Linked DNA regions of Zea mays. The protein of the gene in region 2 interacts with the protein of the main gene of each other region in a pairwise test. Links are inferred from orthologs where the notes say so. Each region holds a gene or a part of one and is shown on either strand. Other genes may lie near its edges. The genes, in order: protein YABBY 4 and Protein TIFY 6b.

Region 1 (4,479 bases), on a different chromosome or scaffold from region 2:
TACGGATCATCAGTGGCCTACTTGATGCGCGCTCTAACTTGATTATTCTCCATTTCTATCCCCACACTGGAAAGTACTCTAATTAAACGACACACGATCGATGTTGAGATCAAGATCTGAGACGAAACCCTAGAATGCAGCACAAAGGGCGATAGCCACTACGACGTGCCAGCTGATTCAGAACACATGCCTAACCAGAGTTATTAGAATGGAGTGATGCCCATGTTGGCTGCTGCAGCTGCAGCCGCTGCGGCGTAGAGATCGTCTTTGAGTAGCATGTCTTCAGCGCCATCCTGTATGTCACAGCCCAGGAACCAGCCAAAATTTTAGAGGCCGGCCGGGGTACGGTGCGTGCTTACAAAGTACTACAAAACTTCGAATAATAAAAAAAAAACTTAAAAGAAGCATGTGGTAATATAGTGTTGCTGCTGGATGACCTGAACTCCGTCAAAGTGTCAAGTGAGGATTTCAAGGCATACAAAATATACATCGAGTTATTAGGGTTTCAGTGTCAGCTCTGATACCTGATGAGTCTTGAAGGTCTTCTTGAGGCCCTGGTCCGGCATGAGGCCGAAGTGGATGTGTGGGAAATGGGCCCACTGATTATGAACACAAATCAGAGAAAGGCAATGCAACATTAGTAGGGTACGTACGACCGACCGAGTACTTGGAAGCAAATACTGAAAACGAACGCTAGCTGTATCGTCTGTACGACGCTGTGCCGGTGGGGCAGCAAGCTAGCCACAGACCACACCAGGCGCAAGCAGCCAGCACCAGACACTAGGTGTCGCTGTGTCCATGCTGACATTGTAAAGTGATGGGTCAAATCACAAGACACGCAGACAGCAAGCTAGCCACGAGTAGTTGTCACTGCTGTGCATATATGCGTCTGGAGAAGAAGACGAAAGAAAGTTACATTCTTTGCGGCTGCGCTGAACGCCTCCCGGTGGGTGATGTCCGGGTTGCCGGCCTTGATGCGCTGGATCTCGTCCCTGTGTGCACGCAGCCAGCAGCACACATTTACTAGCAAGAAGACGATGAGCATGCAGAGAGTGGCGCATACTATACTAGAGCTATCTGATCTCGTTTGGATACTCTCGTATTTATAGTTCATCTCAATCCATATGTCTTGAGCTGAAACTTAAACTAATTTACGCTCTAATCCACTTCAATACATATGGATGAGGTGAATATGAGAGTATACAAACAAGGGTTTTTAAAGGGGGAAAATGCATGCACAGAGAGACTTTTATCACAAAATCTTACTTGATGAACCGGTTGTATGCCGACGGGACTCTCTGCCGCTTCTCCGGAGCTGCGAAGTTAGATTTTGTAGGGTAGATTTGAGTCAGCATACATGCATCCGTAGGGAACATGGGCGAATGGGTACGCTTATCTATCTAGAGCTAGCAGCAACTACTACACTATGCATGCCGACTGTTTGCAACTGAAGAGCGATGGATATGGGCAACCTCTGGCTATAACATGACATGATTGTATGTCTCGCTAGCTAGGCCATCCATCGACCCTGATAAGGTCCCCCTTTTTTTATACAAATCCATATATATATGTTCCCTGGACGCGGTGAAAAATGCTCATGTAATCTATTATAACCTTGTAAACCCATATATATATGTAATTTATCCTAACACTGCACGAAATAATAAGCTAGGATGGGATTGTGTCGTCGTCCATGCATCCAGTTCTATTTATGCACAAATCAAGTTGTTGTTATTGTTCCAGCACGACAAACGGTGATCTGCTTGCCCCTACTCATCCTCTTCAGACACTTTCCTGAGTTCATCCCCATCCGCATCACGCCAATATAATGGCTTTGGGTCTTTGATTAGTGCAGTGATAAATACCCTTGGTTCGGAAAAGTAAAGCAGAAAGTAATAAAAAACAGAAGAGAGAGAGAGAGAGAGAGAGAGAGAGAGAGAGAGAGAGAGAGAGAGATGGGGGATCCAAAGATTGGAAACAGAAAGAACAAGAAGTCCTTACGCCTGTTTACCGACGGGGCGGTCTTGGGCAGTTCGGCTTCCTGCTGCACAGGCTGAGCTGCAGGCATCGGCGCCGGCGGCGGCAGGTTGCTGGCGCAGCTGCTGTTGCTGCTGCGGCCCGTCATGGTGCTGCTCAGGTTGGCACTCGCCTGCTCCATCAGGAAGCTCGGCGCCTGCTGGAGAGCCAACTCGTCCTGCGCGCAAGCAAGCAAGCAAGTCACACACACACACTGACTGATCTCAGTGGTATATGAAGAGGCTAACTAGGGACGACGAAACTAAACATGCACTAGCAGGTTAAAGTGCATGCATGTTAAACTAGTTGAACGAACGAGCTGGATGGGTTTTGGTCCATAGTTACATACCAAGAGGCCATGCGGGGATGTGGGTGACAGCAAGGAGTGAGCGAAGTTGAGATGGTTGGGCGGCGCCGGCGCGGCGGGCGGGAGCAGGAGGCCGCGGAGGTTGACGGAGAGTAGGTTGGCGCAGTGGCCACAACGCACCGTCACCGTCTTGAACAGGCTGCTGCAAGGCACGCCGACCTGCGCGCGCATGCATATAGAGATCGAAGAGAGACGAATCAGTCAACACTGCGTGCGCTGCTGGCTGCTGCGCTAGCTAGAAGAAGAAGTGGGAGAGGCTAGCTGGTGTGTGCGAGTGTCGGTATAGGTGAGAGTGGGGCGCCGCATGCACGTACGGCGAGGATGGTGTCGCAGCAGTTGCAGTGCACGTAGCAGAGCTGCTCGGTGGGGGACGGCGCGAGGTGGTCCAGCGGGAAGCAGCAGGCGGCCGACGACGAGGACGAGGACGAGGACGACATCATGATATGTGGTTCCGACGACCGAAATGTGTGGCTGGCAGCTACTAGCTCCGGTCCACCACCTCCGCTCCGATCCACCTGAGGCGCTGACGCTGTCGACGAGATGGATCGATCCGACGAGGACTGCTGGGGCGCCCCTCCTTGCTCGATCGATCCGGCCGGCCGGCTAGCTAATACTAATAGGGCAAGGAACGGATCGCAGCAGGGAAAGCAAGGTAGCAGAAGAGGAGCGTGGTGAGAGATCGGAGGAGGGGATGGAGGAGAGTCAGGTGTGTGTGGGGAGGGGGGAGAGTCGAAAGGGGAATTTTATACGACGAGTAGCTAGGAGAGGGGAGAGGGGCAGGAGCCAGGAGATATCCTTTTGGTCCCCTTTGATTTGATGAGTGTGAGTGATTTGACGGCTAGCTGGCTGTGCCTGGGGCTGGGGCTGGGGCTGGGGCTGGCTAAACTTGCGATTTGATGGACCTGCCCGATTCGAGAAAGCCTCGGATCTGTCGTTGTTCCCGATTTGAAAGCCGATCCAGGGCAGGGCAAGCACGCAGGAACTAACAAGAGAGAGCCCAAGACCTCGCTCCCTCCCTCCCTTGTTGCTTGCTGCTCCTACTCCTACTACTGCATGTGGATCTTGCCGCGAGCGGCGAGGGAAAGGCAGGCAGGCAGGCAGGAGGAGGAGGCAAGGCATGGGGTGTGTGGACCGCGGACAGCGCGGTGGATATATGGCCCCTGGACAAAGGGAAAGCGAGCGTGGAGCCGTTGGTACATGTGACGGGGGCAAAGCAGGCAGCACGCTACCTCCCCCCGGCCCCTAGCTTGTCTGCACCGGCGGTCGGCATCTCGAGACTGTTGCCGACTGGAAAAGCGGGACGAGTGGTGGGGATCGTCCGGCCCCCCCAACCTGTGCCACGATCGATGCGCGCGGTCTCCCCTCTCTGCTGCTCTCCGGCCGCGCGCAAGAGGTGAGGTGAGGTGAGGTGCAGGCACCATAGTACGTGGGTGTCATGTACGCACGCGCGCACGTTCCCTTTGTACGTACGTACGTACTTGTATATATACTTCTCATCAATGTGCCTGGACGCGCGCGTCGTGTAGCCGCGCAGGCCAGCACGGCCGATCTGACCGGTCCGGCGCGAGAAGGGCTCTGGTACGCGTGCGGCGTGCTTCTTTTCTTCGCGTTTTCGCAAGACAAAAGCCTGACCGTGGTCTGGCTCGATTTTCCTCGGCATGGGTACGGTGGAACCAAGGCTTAAATGGGGCCGAGAGACCAGGTATATATGTACGTACTTCCTACCCTAAAGGTAGTGTACAGACTGTAACCCTGTATGCGTGCCGGTCATCTGTTTCCGGTCGGGAATCTCTACATGCGAACTGTAAACGTAAGATATACTATGGTGTAACGACCGGCCGGCGCAAAATTAAATTTGGTCTCGAAAACAACTCGATGTTGGGAGATGTTCCAGTACATGCTACATGCAGAGCCTTAGCGCCGCACAGGGCATCGCTCCGCCACCTCCATTGTTCCCCCCAGTTGACCCTACTCTCTTCCACACTCCTGTGAGTATCAAAATTGTAGTTAGATGTTTGTAATGCATCTGGTATAACACATGCTATCTCTTCTCTGTGCAGGGCCAATCTGGGGCGGCATCCAACAACCCTCCGGAA
Region 2 (4,395 bases):
CGACAATAAGATTTGCTCTTGCATTCTGCAGCATGGAGGTTCATAATACAAGAACAAAAATATTACACTTTGGCCATACAAAAGGCGCAGAATTTGTAAGCCTATATAAATTGACTTGATACCGCTAAAGAAATGGCGCTAGGACAAAAAAAAATCAAGAGTCTGCAAGTGACAGCTCTCTTGTTAGTTAGGTGGGGGCACCACCAGCATCACAGTAAACTAGCACAACAAAACATCATCATAAACAACAGCTAGCGGCACCGATAACATACGTAATCTCTTCCTCTCGAGTCCTTGCCTGAATGCAAAAGTATCGTATGGTCCTTGCATCAGTCAGCCTGGACAAATCTATGAACATTGGGCATGATCAGATATTCAGATCAGATCTGTAGTTTTGTACTGGGGGACTCTTGGATGAAGCTGATGTTCCTGGGCTGCCCTAAACATAGGGACTCCTCATGGTTGCTTGAGAGGGCAATGTCTGTGCATGATGACTTGTCGTTGGCGCTCCCACTGCCAAACGTGTCACTGCTCTCCATCGGGCTCTTGGCTGATGGGTAAGGTGCAGCAGTTGTCACCCTGCAAGAGAAGTATACACAGATCAGAACCAGCTTTGGAACGCAAATGCAAATATGTCGTAAGGAATTAAGGTGCTGCGATGCACTCGGAAACCAATGCCCTGTTTTTAGGACATTGGGAGCAAGAATATGGATTCTACCTTTCCTTTCTTTTCTCCAAGAATCGAGCAAGGGACGCCTTTCTAGCTTGAGGGACAGCTGCAACAGACAATGACAATTTCAATACAACAAATGAGCAACCAGAATTACTGAATACTCCAATGATAGCCAGTTGGTGCTATGCAAACCATAAACAGCCAACGGTACCTCTAGGCATTATTGCTGCTGCAGTTGTAGCGGCAATGGTTGCAGGCTGAGCTCTCGGAGCCTGACTTACAGGAGAAACAGGAAATGGCACTGAAGATTTTGGAAATGGGGAGTCAAGGTTAGAGCTCGAGGCGCTCCTGGGGAGACTTGCAGCTTGCAAGATGCCAGGGATTGGTTTGGAGATGGCAGACGAAGGTGGAGAAACGTGTTGTGGTTTTTGAAACAGCATCTGTGTTGCATGCAAAACCTCAGGCGCTGTGACTTTTGCTGGAGCGAGAATAGGAGCTTCTGGCTTACGGGCCACGGGGGCTGAGCTTGGAAGAGACCCTCTGCTGGCTAAGAGCATGAGCTCCTGAGCCTGTGGAACGGAAAATGTCAATGAAGGAGCTTAAATGCAAAGCAAATTAGCATCAAAATGGAAAGGCCATGAGAAATTATACCTTCTCAGCTGAGACGTTGTCGAATACGTTGACAGAACCAGCATAGAAGATCGTCAATTGTGCTGTCTTTGGCCTCACCACATCCCTTCACAGGCAAAACAAGCAATGTTTCAGTCGATACTAATTCCACAGCCACTTTTATAAGTCACTGTGGTAACAGCAGATAAACCAGGAGTACCTTGTTCCATAGAAACCAACAGTAGAACTGGCCGCAGCGTTGTTGTTGATGGCAAAAGGCGGCTGCTTGAACGCAGTACCGTTCGGAAGGCTAGGCGAGCTCTGGACCCTGAACATCGGACTGTTCTGGTTGAACGGCGACGAGACCGGAGTGACTCTAGCCCCGTTCAGCGCATGCTGCGTGCGGTGCGCGGCGGCGTAGTGCGTGCTGTCGGGGCCGAACGACCTCTGCAAAAGCATCATCAGAGGCCCGAAAAGGGACCTAGATGTATCAGTAAAAACTCGGAAGCTGACATGGACCAGAACCAAGAAGGGCAGCCGCGCAAACCTGGTGCGTGAGGATACGAGGGGCCGGGTTCTTGGCGCCGTCGAAGGAGGAGAACTGGGGGAACGAAGCTGACCGGAACGACATCAACGCCGGGGCGGCGCCGGGCTTGCTAGCGAAGGACCAGTCCATTGCCGGGGCTGCTGCTGCTGCTCCTGCTCCGCCGAAGTAAGCTGGGGAGAGAGATTGCACACATGCCTCTGACAATCAGACGCCGGCACATAAATACACACAGCAAAGCAAGAACCCAGAGATGGATCCGTTAACCATCCCCATCCCACACGAGCGATCAGACTACTAGCAGCTCGAAATCAACTAACGACACGCGCGGCTGTCCGAAAGGCTCGGCCAGCCTCTCCCGGAAACATCGTCGCTTTCTTCACGTATTAACTCTCCCCACAATCGAGCGTACACGGCAGGCCGGCCGTCAAAAGGAATTCGGCAGGCATGCCAGCCAAGCAAGCCCACACTCTTTGTTGCGAAGATAAAGTAATCAGCAACAAAACACACACAGAGAAAAGAGAGAGAGAGAGGAAAGGGACGCTTGAATTTCGCAGCGCACCCATGCCGCATCTCGCCGCACCGAATGGAGCGAACCCAACCCCAGCACGGCAAGAAACTAGGGCACGGCTCGGTGCGGGCACAGATCAAGAAACGCAGCGCGGCAGGCGGCGAAAGGAGGCCGGGAGCATACCAGATTCCTCCGCGCCTGCCTCCTCCTTGTGCGGGTGCTGCTGCTCCTTGCCGATCGCGGCCAGGAAATCCCTCTCCATCCAACTGGACTCCGGAAAGGAGGCACCAGATTTTGCCATGCCCTCCCGAGGTAACTGCTGGTGGGTGGAGTGGAGAGACAAACAGCGGCAGCCCCCTCCAGGCTCAAGCAAGCTCTGTGAAGCCTCTCTCCCCTCAGCTCCTCGCCTTCTCGTCCGCCCCTCCACTAGCTAGTGATGACGGTGCGCGGCAGCATTGAAAATTCTCCTCTCTCTTCTCCTCTCCTCTTGTAGTTGTAGGCCTGCCGTGTGCCCGTGTGTGCTATTTGTGTTTGTTTAATGGCTTGCGCTTCACTTTTTAATTGAAAACGAGGGCATTAGGAAACAAAAAAATAATTAAAAATAGGAGTAGGAAACAAAAGAAATAAAGGAGTGGTTCGCGTGGCGACTAGGGGCCAGCGGGCCCGGGCCGCGGTGACCGGATCGCTCGCGTCGTTCTCGGCGGGGCCCGCGCCACGTTTACCGGTTCCCCCGGTCGAGTCCCCCACGTGGTACGACACAACGTCCTTCCTGCTGCACTCTGCCTGGTTACGTCGAACGCCACTGACATTTTGGGCGGAGAGGAATGGAACCCCGCATGTCGGTGGAAGAGTGTGCGGCGACCGAGCGTCCAGCGTGGCTCAGACGCGGTGGGCGGGTCGTTGATAGGACGACACGTGTCCGGGAAGGAGAGCGCACGAGGTGAACCGTGGTGGGCGGCCAGTGGCTCCCGCGGTGGGGCCTCGGGATTCTCTGCGCGGGGAACGGGTCCCACGTGAGTTCTGCTCCGGACCACGATTCACGAGGCCACCGAACTTTTTACATTTTAACCTTGTTTTAGGACCGTTTGTTTTCTCGTTAAACTTTAGCACTATATTTTTTTCTTCTGAAGTTTAGACGCTAAAGAAACAAACATGTGACAAAAAGTGTTGTGCTAAAGTTTAGCATATATTAGCACTTTAGCTCAACCAAAGATGATAAAACTATGCTAAAAATAGTCTCCAATCCTATTTTGCATGGATTACCCCTTTCACTCTCCCACCATTGGCCGCCGCAGTTGATAAAGTTTAGCACTTTATCCAAACAGTCCTCAAGTGCTAATGTTTAGCACATGCTAAATTTTAGCAGCCGCTAAACTTTAGCACTAGAGATATAAACATACCCTTAATTTTAATTTCGTATCTCTAATACAACTATTAATGTGTTTGGATTAATGGTATCTTACTCATTTAGTATATGGCTATATGCCAGGTAGAATGAAAAGCTGATGTGACATGTGAGTAAAGAGGAAAGAGAATAAAGATTTTAATAGAGATGTCGCTCAGGCACGATTCATACTCTTGTATACATCTAACATTTAATAATCCTGTAAGACTATTGAACATCAGATGATATTATAATTAGGACAACTATATCTTGTATAGCAACATATGATTTGGCAAGTTGTATATCGTGATAAGAAATAGTGGGTTAGGAATAGCCTAAGGCTACTCCAAATAAGAGTTTCATTGTGTTATTCTTAATATTGCGCACCATCAAGAATGAGATGAAAAAAGAATAAAACATGCAAAAGTTTTAGTTCATGATTTTACATGCTAAAATGTCAATTAAATGTTGCATCGAAATGACCAATAAAAATGTATGAAATGAAAAAAATTGCTCTCAATGGTGGTTTCATGTGTTTTTCAATAACTTCAAAATAAGTTGATATTGTTTCATGATGATGAAACTATGTCCATTCGTTTCAAGATAAATATGGTGTTATGTCATCCAAAAATCTGACGTGGCAATCTAACTAATGTTTGAAAATTCTCACGAAA

What was found.
Region 1: the proteins of Protein TIFY 6b (region 2) and protein YABBY 4 interact in binary tests that used the Arabidopsis thaliana proteins (3 or more experiments, as listed by UniProt). The link is inferred for Zea mays from reciprocal best matches to the Arabidopsis thaliana genes JAZ3 and AFO.

The regions. Positions count from the first base shown.
Region 1 is NC_050100.1:193,315,415-193,319,893, forward strand, and holds the start of protein YABBY 4, read right to left. Parts: upstream 3,062-4,479; 5' UTR 2,824-3,061; coding exon 2,698-2,823; intron 2,543-2,697; coding exon 2,366-2,542; intron 2,195-2,365; coding exon 2,002-2,194; intron 1,316-2,001; coding exon 1,267-1,315; intron 993-1,266; coding exon 917-992; intron 600-916; coding exon 525-599; intron 296-524; coding exon of another isoform or gene 294-295; coding exon 204-293; 3' UTR 1-203.
Region 2 is NC_050102.1:113,400,506-113,404,900, forward strand, and holds the start of Protein TIFY 6b, read right to left. Parts: upstream 2,917-4,395; 5' UTR 2,639-2,916; coding exon 2,521-2,638; intron 2,000-2,520; coding exon 1,830-1,999; intron 1,730-1,829; coding exon 1,503-1,729; intron 1,410-1,502; coding exon 1,325-1,409; intron 1,243-1,324; coding exon 885-1,242; intron 777-884; coding exon 719-776; intron 580-718; coding exon 381-579; 3' UTR 1-380. UniProt on the Arabidopsis thaliana protein: Repressor of jasmonate responses. Jasmonoyl-isoleucine (JA-Ile) specifically promotes COI1-TIFY6B/JAZ3 interaction. Acts as a negative regulator of MYC2 function. Feed-back regulated by MYC2.